7 linked regions of the Oryzias latipes genome follow. The protein of the gene in region 2 purifies or fractionates together with the protein of the main gene of each other region. This does not show direct contact. Links are inferred from orthologs where the notes say so. Each region holds a gene or a part of one and is shown on either strand. Other genes may lie near its edges.

Evidence for each region.
Region 1: the proteins of srrm1 (region 2) and srsf5 purify together in Homo sapiens (affinity purification with western blotting; 3 studies listed by BioGRID and IntAct, with this or other methods). This does not show direct contact. The link is inferred for Oryzias latipes from reciprocal best matches to the Homo sapiens genes SRRM1 and SRSF5.
Region 3: the proteins of srrm1 (region 2) and cdc5l purify together in Homo sapiens (affinity purification with mass spectrometry; 4 studies listed by BioGRID and IntAct, with this or other methods). This does not show direct contact. The link is inferred for Oryzias latipes from reciprocal best matches to the Homo sapiens genes SRRM1 and CDC5L.
Region 4: the proteins of srrm1 (region 2) and srsf6 purify together in Homo sapiens (affinity purification with western blotting; 3 studies listed by BioGRID and IntAct, with this or other methods). This does not show direct contact. The link is inferred for Oryzias latipes from reciprocal best matches to the Homo sapiens genes SRRM1 and SRSF6.
Region 5: the proteins of srrm1 (region 2) and RNA-binding protein 25 fractionate together in Homo sapiens (co-fractionation; 3 studies listed by BioGRID, with this or other methods). This does not show direct contact. The link is inferred for Oryzias latipes from reciprocal best matches to the Homo sapiens genes SRRM1 and RBM25.
Region 6: the proteins of srrm1 (region 2) and serine/arginine-rich splicing factor 3 purify together in Homo sapiens (affinity purification with mass spectrometry; 3 studies listed by BioGRID and IntAct, with this or other methods). This does not show direct contact. The link is inferred for Oryzias latipes from reciprocal best matches to the Homo sapiens genes SRRM1 and SRSF3.
Region 7: the proteins of srrm1 (region 2) and eif4a3 purify together in Homo sapiens (affinity purification with mass spectrometry; 3 studies listed by BioGRID and IntAct, with this or other methods). This does not show direct contact. The link is inferred for Oryzias latipes from reciprocal best matches to the Homo sapiens genes SRRM1 and EIF4A3.

The regions. Positions count from the first base shown.
Region 1 is NC_019880.2:1,440,030-1,444,185, forward strand, and holds the start of srsf5 (serine/arginine-rich splicing factor 5), read left to right. Parts: upstream 1-1,356; 5' UTR 1,357-1,469; intron 1,470-2,113; 5' UTR 2,114-2,122; coding exon 2,123-2,168; intron 2,169-2,504; coding exon 2,505-2,635; intron 2,636-2,720; coding exon 2,721-2,791; intron 2,792-3,008; coding exon 3,009-3,113; intron 3,114-3,573; coding exon 3,574-3,643; intron 3,644-4,156. UniProt on the Homo sapiens protein: Plays a role in constitutive splicing and can modulate the selection of alternative splice sites.
Region 2 is NC_019880.2:16,873,782-16,877,805, reverse strand, and holds the start of srrm1 (serine/arginine repetitive matrix protein 1), read right to left. Parts: upstream 2,801-4,024; 5' UTR 2,691-2,800; coding exon 2,670-2,690; intron 1,853-2,669; coding exon 1,763-1,852; intron 1-1,762. UniProt on the Homo sapiens protein: Part of pre- and post-splicing multiprotein mRNP complexes. As a component of the minor spliceosome, involved in the splicing of U12-type introns in pre-mRNAs. Involved in numerous pre-mRNA processing events.
Region 3 is NC_019873.2:1,354,714-1,358,967, forward strand, and holds the start of cdc5l (cell division cycle 5-like protein), read right to left. Parts: upstream 2,801-4,254; 5' UTR 2,632-2,800; coding exon 2,587-2,631; intron 734-2,586; coding exon 630-733; intron 532-629; coding exon 370-531; intron 294-369; coding exon 166-293; intron 58-165; coding exon 1-57.
Region 4 is NC_019865.2:7,383,803-7,387,997, reverse strand, and holds the start of srsf6 (serine/arginine-rich splicing factor 6), read left to right. Parts: upstream 1-1,395; 5' UTR 1,396-1,480; coding exon 1,481-1,587; intron 1,588-1,924; coding exon 1,925-2,088; intron 2,089-4,195. UniProt on the Homo sapiens protein: Plays a role in constitutive splicing and modulates the selection of alternative splice sites. Plays a role in the alternative splicing of MAPT/Tau exon 10. Binds to alternative exons of TNC pre-mRNA and promotes the expression of alternatively spliced TNC.
Region 5 is NC_019880.2:1,888,585-1,892,817, forward strand, and holds the start of RNA-binding protein 25, read left to right. Parts: upstream 1-1,433; 5' UTR 1,434-1,630; intron 1,631-1,843; 5' UTR 1,844-1,859; coding exon 1,860-1,965; intron 1,966-4,047; coding exon 4,048-4,097; intron 4,098-4,223; coding exon 4,224-4,233. UniProt on the Homo sapiens protein: RNA-binding protein that acts as a regulator of alternative pre-mRNA splicing. Involved in apoptotic cell death through the regulation of the apoptotic factor BCL2L1 isoform expression.
Region 6 is NC_019863.2:2,322,580-2,326,540, reverse strand, and holds the start of serine/arginine-rich splicing factor 3, read left to right. Parts: upstream 1-1,161; 5' UTR 1,162-1,181; coding exon 1,182-1,371; intron 1,372-2,038; coding exon 2,039-2,249; intron 2,250-2,383; coding exon 2,384-2,527; intron 2,528-2,999; exon of another isoform or gene 3,000-3,961. UniProt on the Homo sapiens protein: Splicing factor, which binds the consensus motif 5'-C[ACU][AU]C[ACU][AC]C-3' within pre-mRNA and promotes specific exons inclusion during alternative splicing.
Region 7 is NC_019859.2:158,191-162,458, reverse strand, and holds the start of eif4a3 (eukaryotic initiation factor 4A-III), read left to right. Parts: upstream 1-1,468; 5' UTR 1,469-1,571; coding exon 1,572-1,725; intron 1,726-2,599; coding exon 2,600-2,672; intron 2,673-2,745; coding exon 2,746-2,812; intron 2,813-2,895; coding exon 2,896-2,958; intron 2,959-3,040; coding exon 3,041-3,173; intron 3,174-3,238; coding exon 3,239-3,319; intron 3,320-4,268. UniProt on the Homo sapiens protein: ATP-dependent RNA helicase. Involved in pre-mRNA splicing as component of the spliceosome. Core component of the splicing-dependent multiprotein exon junction complex (EJC) deposited at splice junctions on mRNAs.

The sequences.
Region 1 (4,156 bases), about 15 Mb from region 2:
ACAAGCATTTCAAGACTGATTGTGATTATAATTAAAGAAATTGACCCGGTTCAGTGTCTTCGCTTTGTTTTTACAATTTAAAATATTCCACCTTTTACATGTTAAAGGCAACTAAATGGTTTGTTTGATCAAAATTACGCAGAATTTCTTAAATCAAAATGTACATCTGGCTTGAAAGATATTTTGTAAAAACACCAGTTAATTTTCCAGTAAATTGTGATTTTGACTCTAGATTTTCATCAAGGACGCAATAAGACTTTTACCGCTCTGCTAATTTCTGTCGTGGATTTGATTCACATCATCAACCAGAAGCCAATTTGACTCTGAAATATACTCAATACTCAATTATGTTTGTGAAAAAAGCAAATTAATCTCCGTAGTGTATATTTAATCTAATCAGACTTCACCGTTATAGGTAAAAAATCTGCCCAGAGCTTCTCTCAGTAATAATTTCAAATGAAGGTTGAGGGTGTGGCAAAGGTGAAGCAAAAAAAAACGGATTTTCTTGTTGACTTTGGCAACTCGTGAATAATGTTGAAGGTTTTATTACCTAACTGCTATTTAGAATAAATTCGAGACATTTTTGCATTGAAGGCAGAGGAACTCCACCTGTTATGGGTTCAACAGCACATAAAGATACTGTGATGACTGAGGCAAGGATGGACTGCAGAGAGGAGGGCTATTTACAGTGCAAGTTAAAGTCCTAAAGGAATGCTGCCTTCACGAGATGACAAAACTCGGAACTTTGTGTTCTGAGTTTTGTTTTTCCATTTTTAAAAGTGAACATTTGAAGTTGATTTACTACCCTTCCTTCATCCGAAATTAGGGTGCCTTCCACAAATAAACAAAAGGATTAAAGCTCTAAAATCAAAGTCTTTTTTTTTTATATTTTCTATCTAGTATAATAAAGTAAACGTACGTCTTTTTCCAAATACATGTTCAAAATCTACCTAAATATTTTCAAAGTAAATGTTTTAATTTATTTATTTATAAAATTTTAGCTAAAAAGACACAGAATATACGGCTGAAAAGTACATTGTGATGACTGTTTTAAAGTTATAGTTAGTAATTCCGAGGAACAGCAAATGCAACATGATTTACAGCTTTGCGCAGATCTGGGTTGCCAGATACGTTAAAACGTTTTTCAACTAATCCACAAAAAAACACGTATTTGATTAAGCATGTGTCTTATTTTTTCTTCTAAAAAGTTCATAATTTAATAAAATAATGTATCAGCCAGTTGTTTTACATTCTATATTAACAAAAACAAAAGTTTCACTTGAGGGATACAATTACACCACTGAGCCATTGTCTGGCAACCCCGTTGCTGCTCAAAACAGCAACGGGGTTTCCTATTTCCTGCTCCAAAAGCTCAGTCGCCATTTTCTCTCAGTCAGAGCTTGACCTACTTTTAGTTGCTGCTAAAAAACAAACCGAGTAAAGACGCACCCACGACAAAGCAACCATTGGTAAGCAAATATAACAAAATATAAGAGATAGATTTACGGATTACTGTGTTTTGTTGGAAGTTATTTGAGGTTTTAATGCTAAATGGCGTCGGCTAAACCAACGACCTCGAGGCAACAGACGTACGTTGACGCAGGATCTAAAACCCCTACAAATATTTCGAGATAAATGAATAAATTCGACGATAGAAATTAGTTTTCGACAATAGAAATGGGTTATTACAGCGCGTAGTTGTTCATATATTGTCATTTGTCGAGTTAAATGTTTAGTGTTGAAGGACTGCGCCACATAATGGTTTTTGTTGGCTGGTGAAGGACAGCGCGCGATCACTAGGCCCCAAAAAAAAAAAGTTTATGTAAAGCGAAAATCTAAGCTTTCCACAGAATGATCGATCCTTAAAAAGTGCTTTGGAAGATTAAACAATAGAAATATATTTATATATTTTGGTCTTTTTTTTTTTTTACTTCGTGTGTCTCGAGACTTTTTAGTTTCGTGTTTTGTCGTTTTTCTCCGCGTTAAAGACCCACTTCTTTAAAATTTGTGATTTTAACATGTTCTTTTGGTAATTTTACAATAATGGAGAGCATGTATTTAAAAAAAAATAATATAAGCTTTCTTTATTCAAATGGTTGTGAACCGGGAGCAGACGAAAAAGATGGCGTCTGAAAAAGCCCGTAGCAGTGACGTAGGTGCTACAGACGGTGGGTCCCATTCTGATGCCTCCCCCTGTAGACAAATGGATCCATGTACGTCTTTGTTTAGCTCATCTCTGCAGGGATCAGCCGGATATTGCACACCATTGTTGTTGCACTAGCAATGTTAAGGGTTGTGAAGGGCTGTAAGCTAGTGGGAGAGGATGTAAACAGATGGTCTACAATAAAAATGTCCTAGAAAACGGCACAGGTTTCCTGATATTTGGCTAAAAGTGGCATAATCATAATTAAAAGACCATTGGGGACACTTTGTAAATGGATCAAAAGATGTTAGGAGCTTCAGATGGAAGCAGAGTGTTTAAATCTTCACCCTTTTTTCTACAGATACCATGAGTGGAAGTCGCGTCTTCATCGGCCGCTTGAGCCCTCAGGCCCGAGAGAGAGACGTGGAGAAGTTCTTTAAGGGTTACGGAAGAATCCGGGAGATCAACCTGAAGAACGGATTTGGCTTTGTGGTTCGTATGGCGGCTTCGGTAGAAACTTTTTCCTGCTTTCCTTCCTCAGATCTTCTAAAAGTGTTTATTTTTTTTCTCCCCCTAGGAATTTGATGACCACAGAGATGCAGATGATGCAGTTTATGAACTAAATGGCAAAGAGCTGTTGAGTGAAAGGTAAGGTTCTGTTTCTGAGAAGCAAAGAGTTTTCCCCCGGAGGCTTGCGTAAAGGTTGCTATAGCAATACTTTCAAAATGCTAGCAAGTACTTCCCTCTTTCAGTAATTTTATGAAGAAAAGATAAAACTCTATCGATCCTCATGAACACATGAAGGAACATTAGGGTCATAATATCGACTAAAAGCTCATTGTGGTGTTTGCCTGCTCTTCGTCAGGGTTACTATTGAACATGCTCGCTCCAGGAGAGGAAGAGGGGGCGGACCCCCGGGTATGGCACGTTTTGGTGGGGGTTATCGACAGTCCCGCAACACTGGATCCAGGTATGTCAGGTTCAAAAAGCTCTGATTTAAAAAAGAAAAAAACTACTTGTGTGTGAGCACAGTAAACATTACAGTATAGAAAGTATTTCTGGAAGAAAAGTCAAGCAGTTTTGAAGACTTTGTGGCTTTGAGAAACAAATTTGGAAACATTTGTTTTTAGGTTGGGACCTGTTTTCCATTGAAGTCCTTAAAGGAGGTCATCAATGTGAGATAGACTCCGTCTCCTGTTTTTAGTGTTTTTAACATGTTCTTGTGGCATTTTTCTGGTGATGGAGGACGTATTGAAACTAAGTCAAACCTAAAAGTTGCATTTCTGAGTTTTTCTTTGTTCAAATCGTTGAGAATCAGGAGCAGACAAAAACAGACCGTTTTGAAAAAGGTGTTTTTGTGACAGTGTGGGGCTTCAGACACTCAGAAAACCCCACTAATATCTGTGGTCCCTTTCACTGATGTTTCACAGGTACGGCCCACCTGTGCGGACAGAACACAGGCTCATTGTTGAGAATCTGTCCTCCCGGATCAGCTGGCAGGTAAGAGAAGCAACATAGTCTCTAACTAAATTCAGATTTTTTTTAGATTAGAATAACTATCAAACATGTAGCTGGCATTGTTAAATTGGTAAAATATCAGTAGTCAGTCTTCACCTCAGTTGGTCATTCTAACCACAACTGTTAAAATGTGTTTTGTAACAGCTACTGTATCAGCTGCCTTTGTATCAAAGGTAAACACCCTCCTGTGGGGTGTCACAAGTGTGTAGCGCCCTCTGCTGGCTGTTGTACTCAATAGTTTTCATTTGGTGCCTCTCCTTACACGCAGTTGCTGCTGGTCTAAAGTCTTGGCTGGGCCCCCTAGCGGGTGAAAGTGGTCTAGCGCAGGATTCAGTAGCCTTAGGAGGTCCGTAGCCACAGGCTGGAGGTTCTGTGGGCTGGCGACTGCTGTAAACCCCCTCAAATCCACGGTCCCCTACACTCCCATTTGGGTCTTTGTCTGTGGCTGATGGAGCTGGGGGGGCGGTGTTGAGTCGGGCACACACTCCACCCCCT
Region 2 (4,024 bases):
GTTGACGATGTTTGCAGTAAACCATCGGGATGGACGATGATATCGCCGGGGGATTTTTAATTTTTCATTATTATATAGTTATTATTCATTATTTCACTTTATTACTTCATTTATTTTATTTCCCAACTAATGACTCATCCGCGATGATCCAGTATAAACTGAGGGAAGTGACTTTAACAAACAAAATAGAAAATAAGTAGTCCGCTCCTGCACTTGATTAGTCAAGTGGACCGAGCGACCGTGTCTCTGAGGAGACGGACTTTGTGTTTGATGGGAGGATGCTTTGTTACGTGTGCGCTATGTGTGGGAGACTTCGGACTGCGATCTGTCCCACAGTTCTAGGTGAACAAGCTACCGGAATCAGGAGAACCGGGTCTAAAGTGTGTGTCCGGTCCAGAGCTCGGACCATCAGCTCACATAGCGGCTTTGGGGCGGTGTGTGAGCTTTTCAAAGCAGAAATGTCGCTCAGTCCTTAGAAACCGTTCAAACAATCACGTGGATTTGGGTTTCCAGTCGTGTCCCGACAAAGTAAAGGCTGATGTTATGCCCACATATTTACGTGCAGCCAAGATGCAGATTGCAGCGTTTCCCGCATGGATTTTATGTTCATCAAACAAGGCTAATGTTGTTAGCGCGTGTTAGCCTCTCTTAGTCCTGGCTTTTTCCAGCTTCGTTCTTCAACAGAAAAAAGCACTGACCACACAGATTTAAATTAAAATGATGAGCAAACAGGCGCTTCATAATAACCCTAACATTAATAAAAGCACGTTTGGAGGATATCTCGTATATTACCGAGCTGCCGGATATCTATGTATGTAGCCTCTCAGCGGAACTCATTTCCTCTTCCGGTATTTCAAACACTACTGCGCATGTGCGAAGGATTTATTCCAAATGAAAGTGTGACCATGTGAACGTTTGTTGTAATCAGAAATGTTTTTCTGGGCCCACGTACACGGTTGAATTCTAATCCGACCATTGATCCGATCAAGATATTTTGCACATGTAACCGCGGCTTATGGTGTCGACTCGCAGCGTGGCGGGGGCGTGGCATCACGATGGTGACATCTCCATGGAGAGACACCATCGGCACAACCGATGAACCAGAAATGCCATTTGAAGATGAATTTTCTTTCTATGGGTCCTCCAACATGATAAAAATGCCACAGGAACGTGTTAAAAAACAATTTTCCTTGGAGTGGGTCTTTAATGCCCATTTTACAGGCTATTACATGATCATAGTAAAAAGAGGTGGAGCAAGCTCCAAACATTTCCCTCCCCAACTATGTCCTCCCAGTCAAGACATGACTTTTCTCCAGGCAGGCTGTTTTTACATTTTAATGTTCCCATGCAGCCAGTGAACCAGCAGTTAACGTTAACTACTCTGTTCATCATGGGTGTGTCAAAGTTTGCAATAGTTGGTTCTTATTGGCTAAACTAAGCCAACTGAGTTATCACAAGTGGAACCAAGAAGGCCATCTATTGTGACATGGACACTTTATTAAAACAGTAAACAAGTTTGTAATAATTAAAAACCTAACCAAGTTAAAAACCTTTTTAAATTCTAACATTTCAATGTTATTTTATATATTTTATTATTATTGCAGACATGTACCTTTGAGACCAGTTGAGACAGCAGGAATAGCTGAGATTTATCAGTACAACCAAAATAAAAGTTCCATTTTCAAACTTTCAAAACTAGAAGTTTTGAAGATATGTAATGTACAATCAAAACACATCATATTCTGATATAACAAAAAAATACCTTCTTGTCCAGACATTCTGCAAATTTCAGCTGCTTCAGCAGTTTCTTCTGCTTGTTGCTGAAACGGTTGTCTTGCTCCGCACTTGTACCCTTTGGAATAATGAACCAGCAAGGTTTTAATAAGACAAAATGTAAAATACATGATACACCATGCATGTAGGAATCTTGTCCAGAAAACGTTTAAAGCACCGTTTAGTCAACAAACATTTTAGGCTAATAAACACAAATTTGCCTCGTTCAAAATTATTCGTTTACAACAGTGGAAAAGGGGGGCTCGACGCTGTGGTAGTAATCTGAGCTCGTGAATCTGGGTCATATCGTTGATACGCATAAATTAGCTTTTGCTAAGCTAACTGTCCTCTGAAGTCCTCGTGGCTAACCAAAGAGACACATTTACCGTCTCTGGTATAGAAAAATTCCGGAATTACATCGTTATGTGTTTAACAAAACAGTAAGAAGCCAAATGACTGTTGGCTAAAGTTCATATAATGACAACCGTGACTCTTTCGGGACGCACCGGTTAGGCGCCATCTTCGGAGAAGGCCAACAAGTTAGCTGTGGCTTGCTAGTTGTGTCTGGCCTAATTCCTGATAACTTGACAGCAGATGAATATCAGGTTTTAAAATACACCAACATAATAATATTACATTATTAGATCAAAAAGGCGTCGATATGTAGTGTGTCATTGCAAATTGTTTCTACGGCTTAGTTTAGAATAAAAACCTCAAAGGAGAACCAATGCTTATTTTCGCACCAGTTGATAGACGAAGCCCTGACTAAGCGTGCCAAATCTAGCCGAATGTCCCTCTCTGCCTATAATAATGCGTAGCATTTAAGGCACATATCAGATCAATATACAATTCAGCAAGACGGTTGCTACTGTCAGAAATAAGTTTACTCCACTTACGCGGAAAAATCCCGCGTCCATTATCGGGGAAAATGAATCGTTTCAGGAGCGGTTGAAAAAGACTTGCAAGGCTTCGGTGAAATCTGAAGGGAGAGCCGGATGAAGATAGCGCCTCGTCCGGAAAAGATGGGTACTGCACTCAATTTACAGTCTTCTTCTTGTGGTTCAAATGGCGGGAGGCACCAACGCCAAGGCTCATTACCGCCAACTACTGCGTTGGAGTGTGAGTCGGACTTAATAGACTAGTATAATAGACTTAGTACACTAATATACTTAATACACTAATAGACTTAATAGACCACTTAATAGATTTGGTCCTAGACTAGGTCCTAGTCTATTAAAAAAAACACATTGTCCTCAACAGTCTAGTTCTCTTAAAAAATCCAATAACAACTCAATTGAAATTATGCTCCCCTTCCAAAAGCCTCCTCAAACTCAGCCGCTCTGCCTCCGGCAACCGTACTCCATCCTCCACGTGCTTTCTTTCTTCCCCATACAATTCTCAGTAACACAAAATGTGCTCCACTGATTCTTCCCCTTTCCCACAATCACAGAGACCAGTGTGGATGTTTCCCCAGTAAATGTAATGTATTATTTAAAGCAGTGTGTCCCATCCTCAATCATGATATAATGATTTGATCTCTAGTGTTTGACTTAAGATGCACCTTTCCCTACCTTTTGTTGTATATTAAATATATGTCGTCCTTTCCTCTATCTTTCACATTGTTTCTGCCAGTCTTCCATAACACACCTCCTCATAATTGTCCTAACTTCTGTTCTTCCCAATGGAAATTCTATCTACACACCCTGTTTCAATGCCCGCTTTGCCAGAAAATCAGTTTTTATTCCACCCCCATGTGCTGGTACCCACATAATTCTGATACCGATATTCCATTTCTCCAGTCTCGACACAATCTCAAATCTCATACATTAGATCTGACCTGCTGTCGGAAGAAAAAGATTTCAAAGACATTACACCATCACCAATTCTTTTCTGCTCTAACATGCGTAAACTAAATGATATTGCCAACATTTCAACAGCAAAAACGCAAAGATCCTTTGATGGCTTAATTCCGACATACTTTCCTAATTTTGGGATACAGAAAGAAAAAACTGTCCTCTTTGTTACTGAATCTTCAGATCCATCTGGGAATGAGTGAAGCATGAACCGTATTCAACCTGTCTGCTGTGATTTCATCCCAATTCCCTTTGCTAACATCCATCTTCATATGGAGATAAAAATCAACTTGTACGGTTGGAAAAACCCAGAAAGGAGTGGTACAAAAACGTCTTAACTGGGTCCTATCATAAATCTTTGTTACTCTCTCCATATAGATAATTTCCAAGCAACACTT
Region 3 (4,254 bases), on a different chromosome or scaffold from region 2:
TCTTGCCCTGTGTGTTGGCCAGGCGAGCCCTGGCTTCAGACAGCATCTCCAGCTCGTCTGCAAACACAGAAGCACAGCTGCTCCTTAAAGGCAGACTTCACAAAGTTCCACAAAGAATGAGAGGGCAGTTTTCACTGTAGCTGCAGAGCTGTAGAGATTCTGTACCTTCGTCCATGTCCACGGGGTCCGGTCTGGCAGGTTTGGTCTCAGGATTTGGGTCGATCTCTCCTGGTTTCAACTTCCTCGGATCATCTCCCACCTCTTCCTCATTGTCTCTCTGTGCAGCTTTGTCTCTAAACAGAAAGCCCACCCCCTTCACACACACTCCACCACCTGGTTATGGTCATTCCAGAAGAAAGTCAGACTTACAGCAGGTACTCGTAGTGCTCCAGACACTGGGCAGCAGTACGTCCTATGATGGGAGCGATGGTCCTCCACTGCGTCGGCATCAGCTTGGCCAGATGAAGCAGCTTCTCCTCCTCCTCTCTGGACCACTCCGTTTTCTTAATGCTGGGGTCCAACCACTCGTACCTGCAGACATGCAGGGTAAAACAAAATCCATCCGTTCATCTGCCTATAAAGCTGCCACCATTATGAAAATGGAAGATGTGTTTCGGCATCAAACTCACCATCTGGCTTTGCACTGTTTGGCAGACTTGCGGTGCAGCAGGGAGGCGATGCGGGACCACTGGTTTTTCCCATATTTCATTACCGCCGCCTTGAGGATCTCATCCTGAACAAACAAACAAATAATCAACAAAGACTTCACTAAACAACAAACGACTTACTGCTTTGGTTAGCAGTTGTCATTTTATGAATCAATGAATCACGCGCCTTATACTGTCTACATTTAACAGGTGAGCCCTGCCCACCCAGATCCATCCTGCAGGCCATAAATACATTACATTATCTCCTAATATTAGTTGCCATTAACTGCCCGTGTTCTTTTGTATACAGTGATGAAAGTCAGGCAAGGAAAAAATCCCTGAACTTTTCTTTGAGCGATATGGCGGCGCAGAGAGAAATTTTTGAAAAATACATAGTCTTAGATGCATTCTGGTGCATTCTGGCAGCTCGTTATTCACTTCTTAATCAAGAAACTAAGACTAATTGGAGCATCATCATTTGTCATTCAAACCCCTAGTTTGACTTAACATTAAGGACTTCCTGGTCCTAAAAAAGAATTTGGATCATTGCTCAAAGTATAACAATCCTACAATCTAAGCTTTTCCTAAAATCTGCAAAAGATACAATTGCTAAAATATAGTAACATCAAAGCCCCAAATGGCAAAAAGAACACCAGTAACTATGATATTCTATGAAAATACCTCAGTTATTTATACATTATTTCTGCTTTAGAAATGACTGATGTACAACATTCACTTGCACTGTTTTCTCAAACTATAATTACATCAAAATATGGGATCTGCTTTAAACTATAATTCTATAACATAATACATCAATTCTTTAACACCAATACTAAGTAATCTGGGAAATATCAAAACAAACATACAAACTAAATTAAATATTGTAAACATTATTTTTTAAGGGAGTGCGGGTCCAAACCATCAAATACTTATAATTAATGTCAACTATACTGAACTAAATCATGGTAATTAGGAAATACAAATAAATTAGATAGAGAAATGTATTCAAAATAAAAACTGAAACTCAAAACTAAAACTGAAATTATTTCTGAATTTGGTTTTGAGATTATTTTACACAAAAAAGTATTTGACCTACACTACCTTAAAAATATTTTTCTTCCAGCCAAGACCACTTCAATTTGTTTTTTATCGTCTTCTCACAACTGAGGTCGTGACCACGCTCAATAATGACGATGCCTGCCATTATTTTAACACAAATTTGATCGCAAACTCTTTAGATTTGTTTGTGAAAGTTTAGCGTGGGTCAGCCAGTTTTGGTCTCTAGGGAAGCAAGTCACGCTGACCACGTGGTGCAGACAGAGCCAATCAGACCCGTCGACGCATCCGAAAGCAACTAAAACGTCCCGTCATTGGTCAATTAGGCCGGGAAGACGAGAGATGGCCGCGACCATATAGGAAGCGATCCGCGGAGAAATATAGAAAATAAAGCTAAAATTCGCCGATTTCAGACCATTTTTTCATCCGGAAAGCGATTTGTCCGTAAAGATCAGGTCTTTATTTCCCGGAAAGTACGTTCGGTTTGCTCAAAAACCCGGATTTCCGGGAATTCCCGGAAGACTTTCATCACTGTGTATATAAATAAATAAAAATAAAAATTAAATAAAAAAGACATGGATGCTGATCTGCCTAAAGTTTCCCGGCTGCAGAGCGAGCAGCAGCAGCAAGTCTCCTCCCCGTGAAGAAGGCAGCGGACGTTCAGGACTAGCATAGAGGAAGACGGCTGCAAATGTTGCACTTTCACCACCTTCATCACCTTTTCCAACTAAAAACATCGATATCAAAAGTTAAATTCGCGGACAAAAGAGCGTGTACATAAACGTGCTGTGGAGAGTACGGCCTTTAGCTTTATGCTAACCTCCCGCCATTGGTTTAGGATTAGCCTAGGAGCATGCTAACAGTTAGCCATGTAAACACTTACCTCAGTGTTACGCCAAACCCCTCCTTTTATCATAATACGAGGCATCTTGATGGCTTGTTTTTGAATTCTCCGTCAACAAAATTAAATATTGCTTTAACACCCGCTATTCAGTCTAGCAGATTTTCCAGTTCTCCCTAAAAACTAGCAACACTACGAAGGAGAAACGACATGCACGGATACACCGGAAACTGTATTCTTACAAGTAGTCACCGAAAGGCACTGTGGGTAACGTAGTCTTATACCATGACTGTCTCATATGTATATATGTTATTTTAGGAAGCAGGAAAAATAATTACTTTGGGTAAATCTTAACCCTCCTACCCTTTTGCTATTAGTAGCAACAACAAAGCTGAGAAAAATGAGTCAAATGTCCCCAAAAATGTGTTTCTTACCAGATAAAATGACAAAACGGAAATCTAATTTAAAAAGATGTAATCATTACAATGTTATTTATTTTAAAAGTGTTCCATACATAAACCGAATACTACATACTTTGTAATGGTGCAATTATAAAACCTCTAAATAATGTCCTGCCTTCGCCCAACAGGAACCGGGATGGGCTCCGGCAACCCCGTGACCCCAGCAGGTCAACAAAATAGATGGAAGTTCAAAACAGAAGCGCTGGCATTGGATGTGTTCTCTACCCGCTGATTGTTTCACTGAAAACGGCACATACCCAAAGCTGAGTCCCTGATTGGTAAATGCGATGATTCTTAGGAAATATTTGCCCTATTCATTTATCAATTCATTATTTCTCATTGTATTTCCCCAATCAGTTAGGGGGGTCGGAGGTGTGAAAGAAGTGGGGGGTTGTGTGTAGAAGGGGGCCCTATTTTTCAATTTTTGTGACATTCCCATAAAAATTAGCGAGCTTCTAGTTGCAAAATTCTTTGCACAGGAGCTTGCCAATGACGACCGAGAAGTTAGATGATCGACGAAAATACCTTGTAGTTTTCGTGTGTAGCTGCTACTACAGGTTTTTTTCAAAGACCTCTTCCCGAGGCTAAAGGTCGACTTTTCTCATATTGTGGAAAAACATGAAAATTGCCACAATTTTGCCACAAACCAGCTGCCAAGCAGTGGGTTGTGTGGCCCACAATAATTTCAAAACGTCCTTTGGATATCCCCGACATGTGTTGTATGGTTTCCTTAGTGTATTTTGACTGTTTTTGTGCCTCCATTAGCGATTTTCGGCTCATTAATTTTTTATTATTATTTTTTTTATGGTTTCGCTTGCCATGCTGTCATCGACTTCATTTTTACCAGGTACTGGCGGTCTGCAAGTTTTGGTGAGTTTTCATGCATTTTTTTCAGAGCGGCTTTATGTCAGATCCAAACACTAAACATGAAATTTAATTAGTTTAATCACCTTTTAAATGAAAAAAGAGGACATGTAATAAAAATGTCAAGAACGTGTGAAAAAAAATGTAGAATAAATCAGCAAAGCAGAGTTTTACAAAATAAAACGTCCTTCATAATCAGATAAAAAATAAAATAAAAACACTGCCAAGTATGTATTTTTTCTCTCTGCTGCTTGGTACCAAGTGACCAGACTGGTACCAGTACTCATGATAAATCAATGAATGGATCAAATAGTTGGATCTGGTGGATATAACTAGTTTCCTTTTCTGCTTTAATGTTTGATATCAGAATAAACAGGCAGGTTTT
Region 4 (4,195 bases), on a different chromosome or scaffold from region 2:
ATATTTTTTTCTAAGAAAACATAACATAGTCACTAAAATTTTAAAAATGATTTTTTTTGTTTAGAATTTATAATATACTTCTTCATAACACAGTGCAGGATAAAGAAACGGGCTGCACGGTGGCACTCTTGCCTCCCCCCCTGCTTGGGGACCTGACACAGAACAATGGGGGACCTTTCTCTGTGGAGTTTGCATGTTCAATCTGTGCATGTGTGGGTTCTCTCCAGGGTCTCCGGCTTCCTCCCACCATCCAAAAACATGCTCCATAGGTCAGTTGGGAACTCTAACACTCTCTGTCCCTGAGAGTGAATGGGTGTGTGATTGTGGCTCTGCAATACTGGCGATCGGTCCAGGGTGTCCCTTGCCTTGCTCTGGCAGCCCCGTGACCCCAAGATAAAACACCAGAAGATGAACGAATGAATAATAAAGATACAAATTGGTATTACTCTGATATAAAATATGAGAAATTACTCAATGGATCTTTACAACTCTGGTTAAAGGCGGCAAAAGAGAAAACTGTAAATGGCTTTGGACCTCAAGAAAAATAATACAATTTACCAAGGGTTAAGGTTTATTTGTGATTTACTTGTATTGTGTAAACTACATTTATGAATGATAGTGAAAGCTTTAAAGATCTTTATATATGATAGGTTTTTCCCCTGAATATTTGAAGCTACATTTCTCAGTAAATCTTGTATAATATTATACTTAATTATTTTTTGTCGCATAAATAGCTTATCAGTTGTTTTTGTGCACCAAGGTTGGTTAAAAATCGGATATTTGCTTCCTTTTAGCAACTCTCGTAGTAAACCTAATAATGAGGACCAATGTTTTGTTAATGTAAAGGCAGCCTATAAATATGTGAAATGCAGAGCTAGAACACAAAATTTGACACAAACACATCTAAATAATACTACTACTAATAAAAATCTACATCAATCAGATGACTAAAGAACTGGGGGAAATAAGATAGTTCCAGATTGTTTCTACTAGTTTTTGGAAAAGTTAAATACTTTTAATTGGCGGCTATTGGTTTGCAGGTGAAAAACGTATATGTTTGGACAACATAACATTGATTGTACATGAGAACAGTCAATGCTCCATAATTAATAAACCATCAAGCCCCGTTGAATTTATTGTGCAATCTTCGGAACACAAGATAATAGATTTTAATGTGTGTATGTATTTTCTATGTGAAATTTTACAACACCCTGATTATATGTCATTGTGTGACCGTGTTCTTTCAATAAACTCTTTGTTTACTGCTCTGTTCTTAACCAAAAAATAATAATGATGAAAAAGAAATTACAAAAAAGGACAGGAAGTAAGAACTGCAGTACAGGAACCGGAAATAGCTTATCTTGTCGTTGATTGGCTGTTTCTGGAACTTAGTGAACGCCCACCACAGAAGAAGCTAGCTACAGTAGCGTGTAGCTATTTGGTGGAACAGTCGAGAACAAGTTCAGTAAAAAAAAAAAAGATGCCTCGTGTTTACATAGGTCGTTTAAGCTATCATGTTCGTGAAAAAGATATTCAACGATTTTTTAGCGGATACGGTAAATTACTGGAAGTCGATATGAAAAATGGGTAAGTTCTAGAGATAAAATCGCACATGTTTGGCTAACGCTAAGACACCTGGGCATGTCTACGGCGTAGCTGCAGACATGAGGTGAACGCGTTTGAACTGTGCGCGTACATATTCAGTCACCGTTACATATCGCTTAAGGATTCCTGTCAGTGTTAAAATAAATACCGGATTGAGGGTAAAACGTCCATTTTCTCTGATTTCTTTTTAGATTCTCATATGTCAAACATGGCGTCGTTATTTGCTACATTTGCTAAGCTAACGTCGGCTAATTGAATTTATCCTCACTCAAATAATGTTCTTATTAGTGAAATGAAATTGTGATTCTTCTTTCCACAGCTATGGCTTCGTTGAGTTCGAGGATAACAGGGATGCTGACGATGCTGTGTACGAGCTGAACGGGAAGGAGCTGTGTGGGGAGCGGGTGATTGTCGAGCATGCCCGGGGACCGCGGCGAGACCGAGACGGCTACGGTGGGGGTTCCTCCTGGGGTGGTGGGCGCAGTAAGTGCAGTTATTTAAAGATACCACGTCTCTTCTTCTCCTCCATCAGTGAGGTTACAATGTGAGCTGCTCAGGTGATTGATAATGTAATAAAGCCCTTTTAACAGTGTTACAGTTTTTTTGCTCGTTAATTGGGTTATTGTTTGTATCTTTTTCTGTAGCAAAAAAAACTCATTTATTTTTGTACCACCTCAACTACTTGCGTATTAAATCAGTTATGCTTTATTACAGGGTTCCTTGTTTCTTTCTGAATCTTTTAGCTTGCAGATCTAACATTAAAACAACCTTAACTTTGTTTCTCCAAATCTACTACCTTGCTTAGTTTTTCACTTATATACCTGCTAAAGGTTTTTTTTAATCAACTGAGCACATCTAATCTAAGATAATCAAAGTAGGTACGACACGAATGTCTAGAAAATAACCAAGGTGGTAGATCCTGAGGACCAAGGTTGAAGGCTACTGCCCAAGAGGTGTTACCCTTCCCCTATTTGTGTTTAGGTTCGTCCTTATGGTGTTCAAGCTACATTGAATCAACATATGTCTACTCAGTTCAACCTGATTTAAATCGTATTGTAGAATAGAATATCTTTATTTATATAGCACTTTTCCCAGAAAGAATCTCAAAGTGCTTTACAGCAGAAGCATCAAATCAAAACACAAAAGTAATAAAATAATAAAACAAAACACTGTAAACATAGTAAAATAAGTTCTAAAATCAACTAAAAGCTCTCCTGATTAAAAACGTCTTGACCTGAGATTTAAAACACTCTACGGAGCCCCTCTGATGCAACAACGATGGGAGTTCCAAAGATGAAGAGCAACGGCTTGAAATGAGAGATCTCATCTAGTTTTAAAGCAGGTTTAAGGTCAGATGTTTAAGGTCAGATATTTTAAAAGGTCAGATATGTACTTCTGAGCTTGACCATGCAAAGCTCTAAAAACTAAAAGTAATTTTTTTAATTTTTAAATCAAAAGTAGATGAATGCTAAAGGAGCAATTTATTAATAGAATCCAGTTGAAGATAATGTATTGTATTTTGGTAAACTGTGAGCATACCTGTAGGAACCCTGTTTTAAATCAGGCGTTAGTGCTTTCTCAAATCTTATCTTCACTCTGATGGACTGCACTCGTCTTTTCTTTGATAATTTGATAATTTCCATTGTGTCAGTTTATTGTGAACCGTTTTCTCCCTGATCAAAACTTTGCACGGAGTCAAATCTTCATTTCAATGAGGAATAAACTGCTATTCTGAACTCAGGGCACTTTTAAGAGTAATGCTATGTATCCAAGTAAAAGTAAAAAAAAAAGTTGTGGAGTTCTTTAAAATGTTTTGATTAATGATGTTAAATTGTAAAATTAGTTTGATTAGAAATGTTTACACACAAATGACTGCAAACGTAGCTAGTGTAGTCTTTGCTGGTCTTTTTCTTTTTTTTTTAGGACTTCACTAACATTTTTATGAAATGTGTTTGTTAACCTTGGCATATATATATTTTTTTATATATTAAACATTAACAGAAGTCCTTGATGTTTCAATTTGAAAGAGTCCTGTTGCGGGCTGAGGCTGAGAGTCCATTGAGGCTAAAGATGACTGGCTAAGATGACTGCCTGTCCCGTTTGGCCTTGGCTTTCACCTTACAATGTGTGTGTGACCTTTGCCCCCCTCTTGATCCTTGGCTGACCTAACCGGAAGCCATGATGACAGCAACCTTTTGCCAATAGACCAGGGGTGATGGTGAGGATTGCCATTGGTTTCTATGTTGTCAGAAAACATGACTGGATCAGCTTTTTTTTTTTTTTTTAGGAAAATCAAAAAAACAATTTTGTAAGTATAAGCCTGAAAGGAAAGAAAAAAAGCATTTCAGACTTTTCCAAACTGTCCAAAAACAGTAAATGCTTTTTGTTTGGTCAATTTGATGGACCAGTCTCTTTAACAGAAACCTGTATGGATGCCTCATTTTTGTGTTAGTAGGTGCAGAGGTTAAGAAGTTAGAATGGCTTTGTTACTGGATACCAAAACAGATACAGTGGTGTTCTTGTAACTTCTGTATTTTTACAATTCAAACTTTAGAGCTCCAAAATGGCTTATTTGAACTTTCGACTTTGA
Region 5 (4,233 bases), about 15 Mb from region 2:
ACCAACATACACACAAACACTTACACACACACCACCTCACACCCACTTAAAAACAGACACACACTTGAACACACTCACGAAACCTCAAACACACACACAGAAGCAAATACACACTCAAGTTCACGCACAGAAACACACAAACTCACGCACACTCAGGGATACAGTCAAACCTATCAACAAACTTGCATAACCTCGCACAAAAAAACAAACGCATGCGCTCAAATACTCACACACTACACTCACACACAAAGACACAAACACACACATGGGGTTGAATCACAAACTTAGTTTACTGTATTTGTGTCATTCCTGTAGCTGCTGGCAGAACAGAGTCTGAAAACATATTAAAGCACTGATTGTGTAACACTCATCAAAGACAAAAATACAAAATAAATTACTTTAAAAATAGGTTTTAGTGTTTGTGTTGAATTATTCCTCATAATTCTAGCTGCTGAAAACCGTAGAATGTCAATAAAATGACATTTCTAGAATACAGAAGAAAGTGGATTTGAGCAACAACTGTTTCGCTGCTGAGCTCATGTTAGACTGACGCAGCTGCAAACAGTAACGGCGATGGACGTTCACATCTTGCTCCAGGACACAGGTTCGAAATCAATTTCCAAAGGCCAAAGTGTGGATTTTGGCGCCACCGAGCGGCGGAAAATATGAACTGCTGAGATTTTTTTTCTTATCTGCACCATCGTATTTTTCCCTGGATCTCTTCTGTAAGGCAAACCAGAGTTCGCTCTCATTTCTAACGTCTTGGTGGTGTGTAGTGGGCAGCACAATCACTACAATGAAAGGTTCAAATCCCAGCTGGATTTTTTTTCTGTGTAGTTTCCTGTACTTGAGGGTTTTTTCCGACCTTTTTAGTCCAAAAAACATGGTCAGAGTTTTTGTTGTTGTTGGTTTAGTACTGCAGCATTTGCCAAGGTCCAGCTTTTTGTTATCCATCTGACCGACAAATTTGTCAATGACAATAAAGGCGGACCAGAGTAGCTACCTTGTGGAACTCCAAACTAAGCCATTTTTTTTTCAATTTCTCCTGTATGCTCCCCCAGTGAGCCAGCTTGAGTTATCATTCTATCCAGACATTTATTTAAAAAAAATGGCTAATTTAATTACGGAGCTTTTTTCTAGTATTTCTAGTATTTAAAGATCCTAAATTGCTTTTTCAGTTATAATTTTGGAAAATCTTTTATTTCTACATGAATTATCCTTTTATTTCACATACTCTCAGTTTGAATTAGAATGAAGTCTCTATTAAAGGACATTGACATAACTATGTTTGTATTTTTTGTTAAATGAAAAATTAAATAAAACAAATCCAACAGAATTAAGGCAAATTTGACGATTTTAAAGTGTTTGATGCAGGAGCTGCTGCCTGTAAGACCTCACTCAGGGTATTAAGAAAAAAACAACCCGAGCTGAACCCAGATGTCCCATAATCCTTTTCGGAAAGAATAGCTCCGTTAGCCTCGAACCACGGGAGCTCCCGCAGTGAACCGGTGTCTAATTTAGCCTGCTAATTCTCCCGGAATCGGTCCTTTTGCTGCATTTAATGGGTTTTTTACGAGGATAATCAGCCGTGTTAGCCGTGTCCTCTTTTTAACGGAATACTTGACTGAAGGTGGGTGAGCGCGTTCTTCATGACCGCCGATGCTAACGTCTAGCAGCAAGGCCGGACTTAGCCGTCTGAGGCTAGCAGTTTACAAGCTAGCTAGTCTTTTAATCTCATCGATTTGTCAGTTTATTCTGTCAGTTTGAGCTGGTCGCTGTGACGGTGACCAGTGGAAGAAGCTCCACTCCTTCCCGCTAACCTCCTCTTGTCTCGGTCTTGCAGGCGGTCTCCTCCAGGAATGTCTTACCCGCCTCCGATGAACCGGCCGCAGGTCGGCCTCCCCCAGCTTCCCCCAGGGATCCCCCCGCCGCAGTACGGAGGCTTCGCCCCTCCAGTTCCACCAGGTACCGAGAACCGCCGCACACCTGTGACCCCCCCCCCCCCCCCAGCTTGTGTTGGATCTGGAGTCAAGCATCGCGTTGGGAAGCACTGCAGTTCACCACGTGATTTGACGGGGAGATGAATGAAATTCGATAATTGGTAGATTTAGATGAACTTGAATAAAAATCCACACCGTTTTTTGTGGTGGTAGCCGTCATAAATGCTTTATTCATGCTGGGATTTCAGTTTTGACAGGAGCCTCAGATCTGTAGACATGCGCATTTGCCCCCCTGCCTGTAGGCATCCATATTATAAGCAATGTTGTTCACCTGATTCCAGGTGAAAAAATCAGGTAAGAATGGAGGCTAATTTGGGAAAAAGGAAATCCATTCAAATCCATTGATGTTGAAATTCCTCACGGGAGGCTAAACTACTAAACATTGAAGTAGAAGCTCACCGTTAACCTTTAGAGACCCCCTCCCATCAAACTGGTGTTTTTAACATGTTGTAGCATTTTTCTGACATATTTAAAGAAACTTAAACTCATGATTGCATTTCTGAGTATTTCTCTATTCAAATTATTGTGAATTAGGAACAGATTAAAAAATGCTCTTTGCAAAGGTGATGTAGAAAATACGCTGGGCGGAGCCACAAGCTCCATATTTACAGGTGTAGGTTGATATTGCTCGCCATTTTTGTTGCACCGCCCGTGTTAGCATGGGGTTGTGAGGCGCTGTAAGCTAGCAGGAGAGCTTGTAAACAGATGGGTGGCGGGAAGTGTGTGGGGGGTGAATTTCTATTGAACTCCTGTCGCTCTGCAGAAACTATGTCCTAGCAATGACACAACTAAAAGATTTCTTTTATTTTGAAGTTGAAGACTCTTCTTCGGTTTCCTCTCTGGATCTTTTCCTCCGTTTGTTTTTTATTAACTTTGCTGTCTTCGGGCATTAAATTTAGGATTGGAGGCTTTAAGAAAGTACCAAATGTATTTGACACGTGACCGAGGAGAACGTCTTGATATGCAGTAAAGCATAAAGGGATGTGGTGCACAGAATCCTATAGTTTTCCAAAATAAAACTTCCTTCAGAATGAATAAATCCTCCAAACAGAAATAAATTAATAGTAATAACTGTAATAACTTTCTGTAAGTTTTTTGGTTTTGTTTTCTGTGTCTGTTGTCCCGTACCAAGTGACCCACAGGTTTAGAAGCTGCTGGGTTTTTTAAATTCTTTCCATTTTTATTTGTATTTTCTGAACCAGTAGAAGTGTAATCATTCATTTTAATGCTGCATTTCATATCACAATTTGTGGCTGACGATATGTTTATATTCAATATTTGTTCATTCTGAACGCTCCGGTTCACTGAGCTAAAGTAGATCCAGATCCTCTTCATCCAAACTTCCAGACAGAAATTCCTGCTACTGAACAGTTTTCCAGATTCTTGGATTTCTTCCAGATCATCAAGTGGAAATGAAATCTGTGTCCAAACAAACAAGTAAACTAGAATGAATGTCAAATCCATTCACATGTTAGTTTCCTAAATTTCACCACTGTTGTTTTTCCACATCCAAAGAATCCAAAGGGAACATTCTTAGAACATTCTAGCACATTAGACATGTTGTTAATGACAACATGTCATTAACATTCCGTGTTAATGACATCACAAATGTGTTGTCCGCTGTGATTGGTCGATTAAACCTTCTAGTAAAATAAACCGGCTGTACCTCAATCCAAATAGTATTTGATCTCATTTTGAAACCATTTTATAACAGTGTGGGCCAATTCCATTAACTCTGTCTGGTTGGAATCATAAATCAATTCACGGATTCATCGTTAAAGTCCAGTTGTGTTTGAGGCTCACCGTGGATCACTGTCTTCATGAGGACTGGATTCCCATAGTTTGAGGGGAAACAGGTTTCTGTCTGCCTCTGTCTCCTCTGAAGGGCCTCTTTGTCTTAGATGTGTGAGCGTCCGCTCCACCCTGTTGGCTTTACACTCACAGCTTGGAACTGAGGGAACTTTCTGGGTGAAACAGTCCTAGAAGTTAGGATTCAGTGTGGATGAAAGCAAAATCTACACCAACCTTTTCCCTCTGCTGTTTCCAGGTACTCCCATGATCCCAGTTCACATGGGCGTAGTGGCCCCCGCGCCCACAGTGAGTCTGAAACCAGAGTTTTTACCACATTAACCCGCAGCTCCTCCGTGTGACCCGCCGTCACCGCCGTCTTTATGGCATCCACAGTTGATGCGTTCGTCTCTAAACCTTGCATTGCTGTCGCAGGTTCTGGTTC
Region 6 (3,961 bases), on a different chromosome or scaffold from region 2:
CACAGCAGGACGACACCAGGAACCAGCAGAATACCACATTATTTATAGTCTTTAAAAGAACATTGGACAGATTTGGAGTCACGTTGGAAATGACATTAGTCATAAAACTGGAAAAACAATCACATTTTCAGAAAAACAAACCATTTTGGGCTGTTATGACAACATGAAGCAGAACTTTATTTTTATAACACAATTTATTTTGTTTTTGAGAAATTTCATATATATAAAAGGAAATGGTCAAACTCTAAACTTGATTTTGAACACTTTTTGAATGAAATAATTAAATATAGTGAAAGTATCAAACAAATAAAAAAGAAAAAAGAAATTTCAACAAATGTAATATTTCAAAAGGTAATTTTTTTAATAAACTCTGCAGCTCATTGTTATTTTTTTGTTTTGCTTTTGTGATGTTCCGTACATTGTGCATTCCTTTCTTTTTTTCTTTCCTTATTGTTGACATTCATGCTTTTGTTGTTGTTTATGACTAAAACTTCAAAAACTGTTTTTTTTCTTTTTTACTTCTTTAAGATCCATTTATAGACTAAAGTACTGAATTGCGACATTTTTTCATCTGCTCCTGGTTCACAACGATTTGAATGAAGAAATACTTAGAAATGCAGTTTTAGGCCTAATTTTCTTCATAAATGTCCTCCAACATGAGAAAAATGCCACAAGAACATTTAAAAACACTAACAACACAATTCTCATCGCTGTTGGTCTTTAACTGCCACCTGTTCTCAGCTGCATTTGATTAGTTTTATGCAAAAGTTTACATCCACATTACTTTACATTCAGCTCTATTAATCTTTTTTTACTTATTGATCACTCCTTTAATACCTTTTTATGTTTCCTTTAATGTTTTATGTAAAGCCCTTTGTATTGTCTTTTTTTTAAATGTTCTCTACAAATAAACTTGACTTGTGTATAACCACTATTTAAGTATAAAAGGAAATTTTTAAAAAAAATCAACAATTTGTAATTATTTGTATAAATGAAAACAGCTGCAAATATTTTTTCTCCATGTATCTTTTGGAGAATTTGATACAACCAACAAACCCGGAAATGAACAGTCAGCGTAAATTGGCTGCTGTGAAACAGGCCTCTGCTGTGGCTAAACCGGTTTAAAATGTGCTGAAGTGATCTTCTCGGCGTTGTCCCGGGGAACACCGAACTGGCTTTTGATGTCGACGCTCGCGAGCGCGCACAGAGAAGCCCCGCCCCTCGCGGTGCAGCATCCTGGTCACTTTTTACAGTCGAACGTATTCTCCGTCACGCCATTTTCCACCGTCGGCTGGAGGCAGTGCATCGGCGAGACGGGTGCACGTGAAAAAGAGTTCTTCTCAGCGGTGAATTCCTTCGGCTCCGGTACAGGTAGTGCAGACATTCACGGACCTTCAGCGCCGTAGACACGTGCTTTAGCGCTAAAGGAAGCAGCCGCGTGCGCCATTGTCTGATCACGTCGTGTGTTGAACCCGCCGCCGCCGCAGGAGGAGAAGGCCGCGGAGTATCGACAGCCATTTTAGCTGCTTTTATTCACCCGTTTTCTCCGTTAGTGAAGTCTGTGTGTTTAAAAAAAAAGTCAAACTACAAAACTGAAATAGAGTTGCTAAGTGTGAGCTTAAAGCTACCGGTTATGGCTAACTTTACACGATCGTGTGGCTAAAGTTAGCATTTTATGCTAACTTTGGTAGAAATGTGGATCAGTTTTCTAAATGATGATCGCGTGTAGTGGAAACTCGATGCGTATTTAGACCCAGCCCACCAAAGTAAGAACATTTGTAACTATATTTATCGAAATCTTCGTTTGTTTATTGTGGCTCATTGAAAAACAGGTATTTGGAGCATCATTATCATCGGTGGCAGAGCAGAGGCGGATCTCCGGCCGTACTGTTAGTTTGGTCTGTCCTGGTTCATCCACGAAACCGATCAGTCGACTACAGTAGAATTGCTTGATTTGAAACCAGAAATGTAATCTATCATCTTCTTATATTTTTAGCTGATCCTTGTGTTTATAACCCCGTGGTTTTGATTATTCCAGATTCCATCATGCACCGTGACTGTCCCCTGGACTGTAAGGTCTACGTTGGAAATTTGGGCAACAATGGGAACAAAACCGAGTTGGAGCGCGCCTTTGGCTACTACGGACCTCTTCGTAGCGTCTGGGTGGCCAGGAACCCCCCAGGTTTCGCCTTCGTAGAGTTTGAAGATCCCAGAGATGCAACGGATGCGGTGCGAGAACTGGATGGAAGGTACGTCCCTCCCTGTGTGATTTTTGTAGGTACGGCCCGCAAAATCCTCCCAAACGGGTTTGTCTGGCCACCAGCAATTCCACAGAAATCAGCGTTTGGTATGAAATGAATGACAGGCGTGAATGTTGTCGCAGGACACTGTGCGGCTGCCGGGTGCGCGTGGAGCTGTCTAACGGGGAGAAGCGCAGCCGCAGTCGCGGCGCTCCTCCATCGTGGAGCAGGCGGCCGCGGGAACGGGACGACTACAGGCGGCGTAGCAGCCCGCCACCCAGGAGAAGGTAACCCAGGGGTTCTTTGATGGAAGGGATTTCTTAGCTTTATATCCTCTTATGTGATTTACTTTACAGTACATTTCCTGAGAACTGCTTTTGGGTTTCCAGTCTGGGTTGTTGTGTTGTTAATTTATCTTTTCTTTCTTTCTTTTTTGGTGACTGTTGACCTGTCTGCGCTTACTTTGTGCAACAAGGAAAACACACAAAATATTCAAATATTTGTCAAAAGTACATTGTGTAGAATGGGACTTTGGCTTTTAACAGCCAGAGTCCTTTTGTGTGTGTTTCGTGTGCACACCCAAATCTTTGTTTAGGAGTTTGACAGTGACAAGAGGTCATAAATAAAGTTTTTAGTTTGGAAAAAGAAGTAAATTTGTATAAAGTTTGGGGCGGGCGGTGTGAGGGGTAAAACTGCCAAATGTCTTTATATTTTTTTTTTACTTTTCATCTATATTAATAAGAATGAAACCCATTGCAGAACCACCACCATGCCTCTTCTCACCACCCTCAGTCAACTAGTCCTCTTTCAGCATCACGCGACTGCTGACCGTCGTGTCCCAATCAGCTTGGCTGGTGCTGTCACATGACCCAGGCTTGGCCAGTCGTCAGGTTGCACCAGCCCATTGGTTCCTCAGCATGCCGTTCTCAACCTCCTGCTCCTTCAGCCTTAAACCAAAGGGCAGCCACCCACTTCACATTCCCGACCAATCAGCGTAAAATGTTCCCAAATGTCTACAACCCACCAGCAGCAGCCGTCAGCTTACCAATTAAAGCAGGAAAAAAGCCACAACCAGCCCCCATCTGCCTGCCATCTAATCACCTTGCAGCATCTGTCCACTCCTATTCCGCCAATTCTACCTACGCGGCCGGCAGTCTGCCTTCCTTTCGTCATATCTAGCTTGTTGAAATCCAAAAAAACTAGTAAGTTTCCCTGCTTCATTCAGTACACTGCTGATTTCAGTTTTGAAAGTGAAGAGACAGCTGGTTTGAAGAGACTTTTATTGTTTAAACTCTAGCTTTGTCATCCACCATGTGAGTCTTTGTTTCAATGGGAGTGATCAGATAGATGGAGCCTGCTGTCAGAGGAGCTTGATGGTGCTGATGTTAGGGGATCTGGGCACATCGTAGGTCACAGCAGTCACAACTCTGTTAGCTGGAAAAAGGCTAGCTTCAGGTAAACGGGTCAGTGGGGGGGTTGATTAGTCAAACACAGAGCAGTTTACAACATTTGTTTCTTTTTTTTTTAGCACAAGAAAAATTTGCAGCCTGTTTCAGTAATTTTTTAAGCTATCTTCACACCGAATGGGATTCACACGTCGAAGGCGTCCAGTTTTGTGCTGACACGATCTGAGGTTCGGCAGCGGCGCCTCGGGCGGTGCATCCAGACTTCAAATGTCTAAACGTTGGCGTTGAATTCGTTAACCACCCAGGGACTTGCCT
Region 7 (4,268 bases), on a different chromosome or scaffold from region 2:
GAGGTTCAATAATCATTCACTCTGTGGTCATAAACGACACGGGACAACAGGTCCGCCATTTAGTGGATCCGCTCACCAATTCTTTATTCTTCTTCTTCTACTCTCCCAAATTTAACTTGCCACGCCCCCTGGTCTCTAGGGTAACCCGGGAGGGACACACCTCTCCCAAAATAAAAGATCCAGGAAGTTGGTTACATACGTCCACCCTTTCAAAAGAAATGTCCTCATTTCTACAATTTCTACAGGAAATGCAACAGGCCGGGGAGTGCAAAAAAATAAATAAAATAAATGAATTAAGAAATAAACATTCGAGACCCAATATGGCGTCAACAAAAGTCAACCAAACAGGAACAACATGAGTTTACAGAACCCACCGGCAAATTTCCCACCACAGGAGGGAGAGGAAAAAAAAAAATCTGAATAATAATACAACATTGCCTGCCAACCAACAGCATATTATTCAACAGAATCTTTCAAGGAAGGAAAACACAACAACATATGACAGTCTCCTCACAACACCAACAAAAATTTCACTGTGACATAACTCTGTATTGTTACATCCTAATAAAGTCCTGATAACGTGTTGGAGCACGCACCATTCTGCCACTGCGGGAGTGTGCAGGGGCTGTCCCAAACGCGTCCCTCTGACCCTGTTGGGGTGGATCACCATTATCTGGGGGGTCCAATGAAGTACCCGCCGAAGGAGAGGATGATGGCGGGGTGGACATACTGTCGTTTGGGGAACCAGCAGGCAGGGGAAGAGTGTAACGTTTTAACCTGTCATGATGAACAACCTGGGCCCGCTCAGACATATCCAGGGGGTTGACAATGCGATATGTCAAAGCGGCCTCTGCACCTGAAGCCAGAACCCGATCCACACGATAGGGACCTTTCCAGTGCGGTGCTAGTTTTGTGCGGCCCTCTGTTGGGTTATTAAGCCAGACCAGAGCACCCTCTGTAAAGCCCTTGTGGTGAGAGTTCTCATCATGGTACAGTTTCTGTTTCTCCTGCGCCTCTGCTGCATTAACCCTCGCTGCACTGAAAGCAATCTCCAGCCGCTCCACAAGAGACGACGCGTATAAAGGCAGCGTGGCTGCACTGCCAATGCCACCAACCCCACTAGGAATGAGAACCTCTGCCGGGGTCCGGGCTTCGCGCCCGTGCATAAGATAAAAGGGAGTAAACCGTGTGCTGGTGTGCTTGGAGATGTTGTAAGCAAAAGCAACAGATTTCAAATGGTCATCCCATTCCCCCCCCATGGGACAACAACATCTTGGCCAGCTGGTCAATTAGGGTAACCCGGGAGGGACACACCTCTCCCAAAATAAAAGATCCAGGAAGTTGGTTACATCTGTTTTAATTGTGGTTTGACACTTTATACAGCTGCCACAATATTGTAAACCTCAAATGTTTTTTCCAAACGAAAAACAATTGCTCTTCCGCCTGATAAACCTGGTCGCCTGCTGATGACGTAAGCAGAGCGACACGTGGAGCGCTGTTAGTAGCTAGCAAAGCGGTTACCCCCCTTTTGCGGAGACTACCGATTCGTTTTGAAGACAGACACGACCGTCATGGCCGCTGCTGGGACACCGGGCAGGAGAAGACTCCTGAAGGAGGAGGACATGACCAAGGTGGAGTTTGAAACCAGTGAAGAGGTGGATGTCACCCCTACCTTCGACACCATGGGGCTCCGTGAGGACCTGCTCCGGGGAATCTACGCCTACGGTAGGCCGGTGGATTCGAGAGGCCTCCGCCTCCAGATGCTAAGCCTAAATCCGCTGTGTGGTTCAGTTCACCTTAAAAAAGGAATGAAAACGTAGTTGGTATCAGACTACATCCCGTAATAACTTACATTAAAGCGGGTAGATTGGTGTGACCTGATCATTTTGTCGTTGGCGGGAAGAAAAACTTCATCTTTTTAGCCTTCATGCTAGCATGCTAAGGCCGCGTGCGGCCGCGCTGACATGAAATTAGTTTAAATTCGTGTTGATTATTTACTAAACGAAAACCAGATACTAAAATTTGCGGGTTTCGTTCAGTAATGCCTGGACACGATCTTTGTTGGTATTGTTGCTCGTAACAGTCATGATCCAGGAGTTAGACGGTTCCCATCCTATATGGCTTCGTATATGTAGCGAATATTTTACTAATTTCCCCCAGAACTATTAATAAATATATGTCAACACTTCTGTCTTAATGTGTATTTTAATTTTGTTTCTGTTCATGTGTTCTGTCTTCTCCAGACGGCAGAACATTTTATGAACATATTATCTGGACCCAAAAGGACGGGAGAAATCCCAATAGACAGAATCGATCAGATTTGTATCTACAGTAATATTGAAGTGTTGCACTGATAAAGATGAATTCTCTACATTTTCCTGGACTATTGTGCTTGAGAGGATCCTTCTTTACCCCTAAAACCCAGTTTCTCCATAGAAATCCTTTCTGTGGGACTAAAACTTTTCTTTCTGGTCAGCATCACCAGAACTTCCCACTTTGGTCCCCCTCAGTTTGAGCAGCATGGGAACTTCTCAGATGAGGTTTCTCTATGTGGAAATGAAGATGGACAGCACCTGACCAGGTTCTGGTTCTGTTACAGGTTTCGAGAAGCCTTCAGCCATTCAGCAGAGAGCCATCAAGCAGATCATCAAAGGCAGAGATGTCATCGCTCAGTAAGTCTGGGCTGGAAAACATGCAGGTGCTCTGGTCCTCCATGCTGTAACGTGTGATCTGTGCTGCATTCAGGTCCCAGTCTGGAACAGGAAAGACGGCCACTTTCTGTATTTCCGTCCTGCAGTGTCTGGACATCCAGGTGAGTTCTTGCTGTTCTTGTGTCCCGTGACAGACGGGCCAGAACCCGTTTGCAGCTCGGTGGTGATGCTGTTCCTTCTGCAGGTCAGGGAGACCCAGGCTCTAATTCTTGCTCCAACCAGAGAGCTGGCCGGACAGATTCAGAAGGTAGCCCCGCCTCCACCGCCATGTTCAGCCAAAGGCTTGTAAGGTAGAGGCGGCGGTGCCAGTCACGGTGTCCTGTGTGCAGGTGCTGCTGGCTCTGGGAGACTACATGAACGTTCAGTGTCACGCCTGCATCGGAGGAACCAACGTGGGCGAGGACATTCGCAAGCTGGACTACGGCCAGCACGTGGTAGCTGGCACCCCTGGACGGGTTTTTGGTGGGTTCAATGGGTTTTATGGCAAAAGTGGCACAAACGGGAATGCTGACGGCGTCTCTTTACAGACATGATTCGGCGCCGCAGTCTCAGGACCAGAGCTATCAAGATGCTGGTGTTGGATGAAGCTGATGAGATGCTGAACAAAGGTGAGGTCCTCTGCTGTTCAGCGTCTTCTGTACCTGCAAAGCAGCTCTGTCTGAGCTGAAAGCTCACCTGCTGGTCATCAGAATAACTCTGGCACCTTTGGTTACGTCTGAAATGTGTTGAAGGAGCAGGAAGGGTTGGTCCTTCCAGGTTGGAACCACCTGTTCCAGACACACTTGAAGGTCACCTTTCCTTTCAGTGGTCGTGTTTTCGGCTTAATGTGTCAGATTTGAAAAGTCCATTTGACGCCATCGGGCCGCGATGTCACCACTTCCTGTTTAGGACGTTTAAAGCAACACTTCAGTGAATTTTAACGGTGACATGGAGATGTTCTAAGTGAAGGTTAGGAAGAACCTTCAGCAGAATCTTCAGCAGAACCGCTAGCAGGGTCAGAACTTTAAATTCATGTCTGTAGTGTTGCTAGTGTCACTGCAGAGAATGGTTTCAGATTTCTGCTTTAACATTCCAGATTCGTGGGGGAGCAGAGCTTTTGGGGGGTGGGGGTGGTGGTCTCTGTAGCGCATGGGGAGGTCTTCATCTCACCACCACACATCTTTGCTTGGCTGTTGGTGTTTTTGCTCTTCGTCGCCATCAGATCTTTTTCATTCTAGAATCCTGGACGGATTTTTCTACGAAGGCTTGAACTTTAAGAGAAAAGTCTGGAAATGTTGACAGCTAGCTTGTGGATTTCACCTGTGGCCGGTTATTTTAGAAGGCAACTCCCGCGATGGGAATGCTGTAGTTGAGTTCCGGCGTGACTGCACTTCCTGAATGACCCTGGTCAGTCAAAGCCGCCGTCATGGCTGAAGTTCTGGCAGACCGTCCTAAACTACGAGCTCTCTGAGAGGTTTGGGGCCGGCCTCAGAGACGGAGATGCTTCTGGGTCTCAGGGACCAAAAATCAGGAGCAGCCTTTCTCCGGTTTGGAGCACCTGACATCTCTGAGACTTCA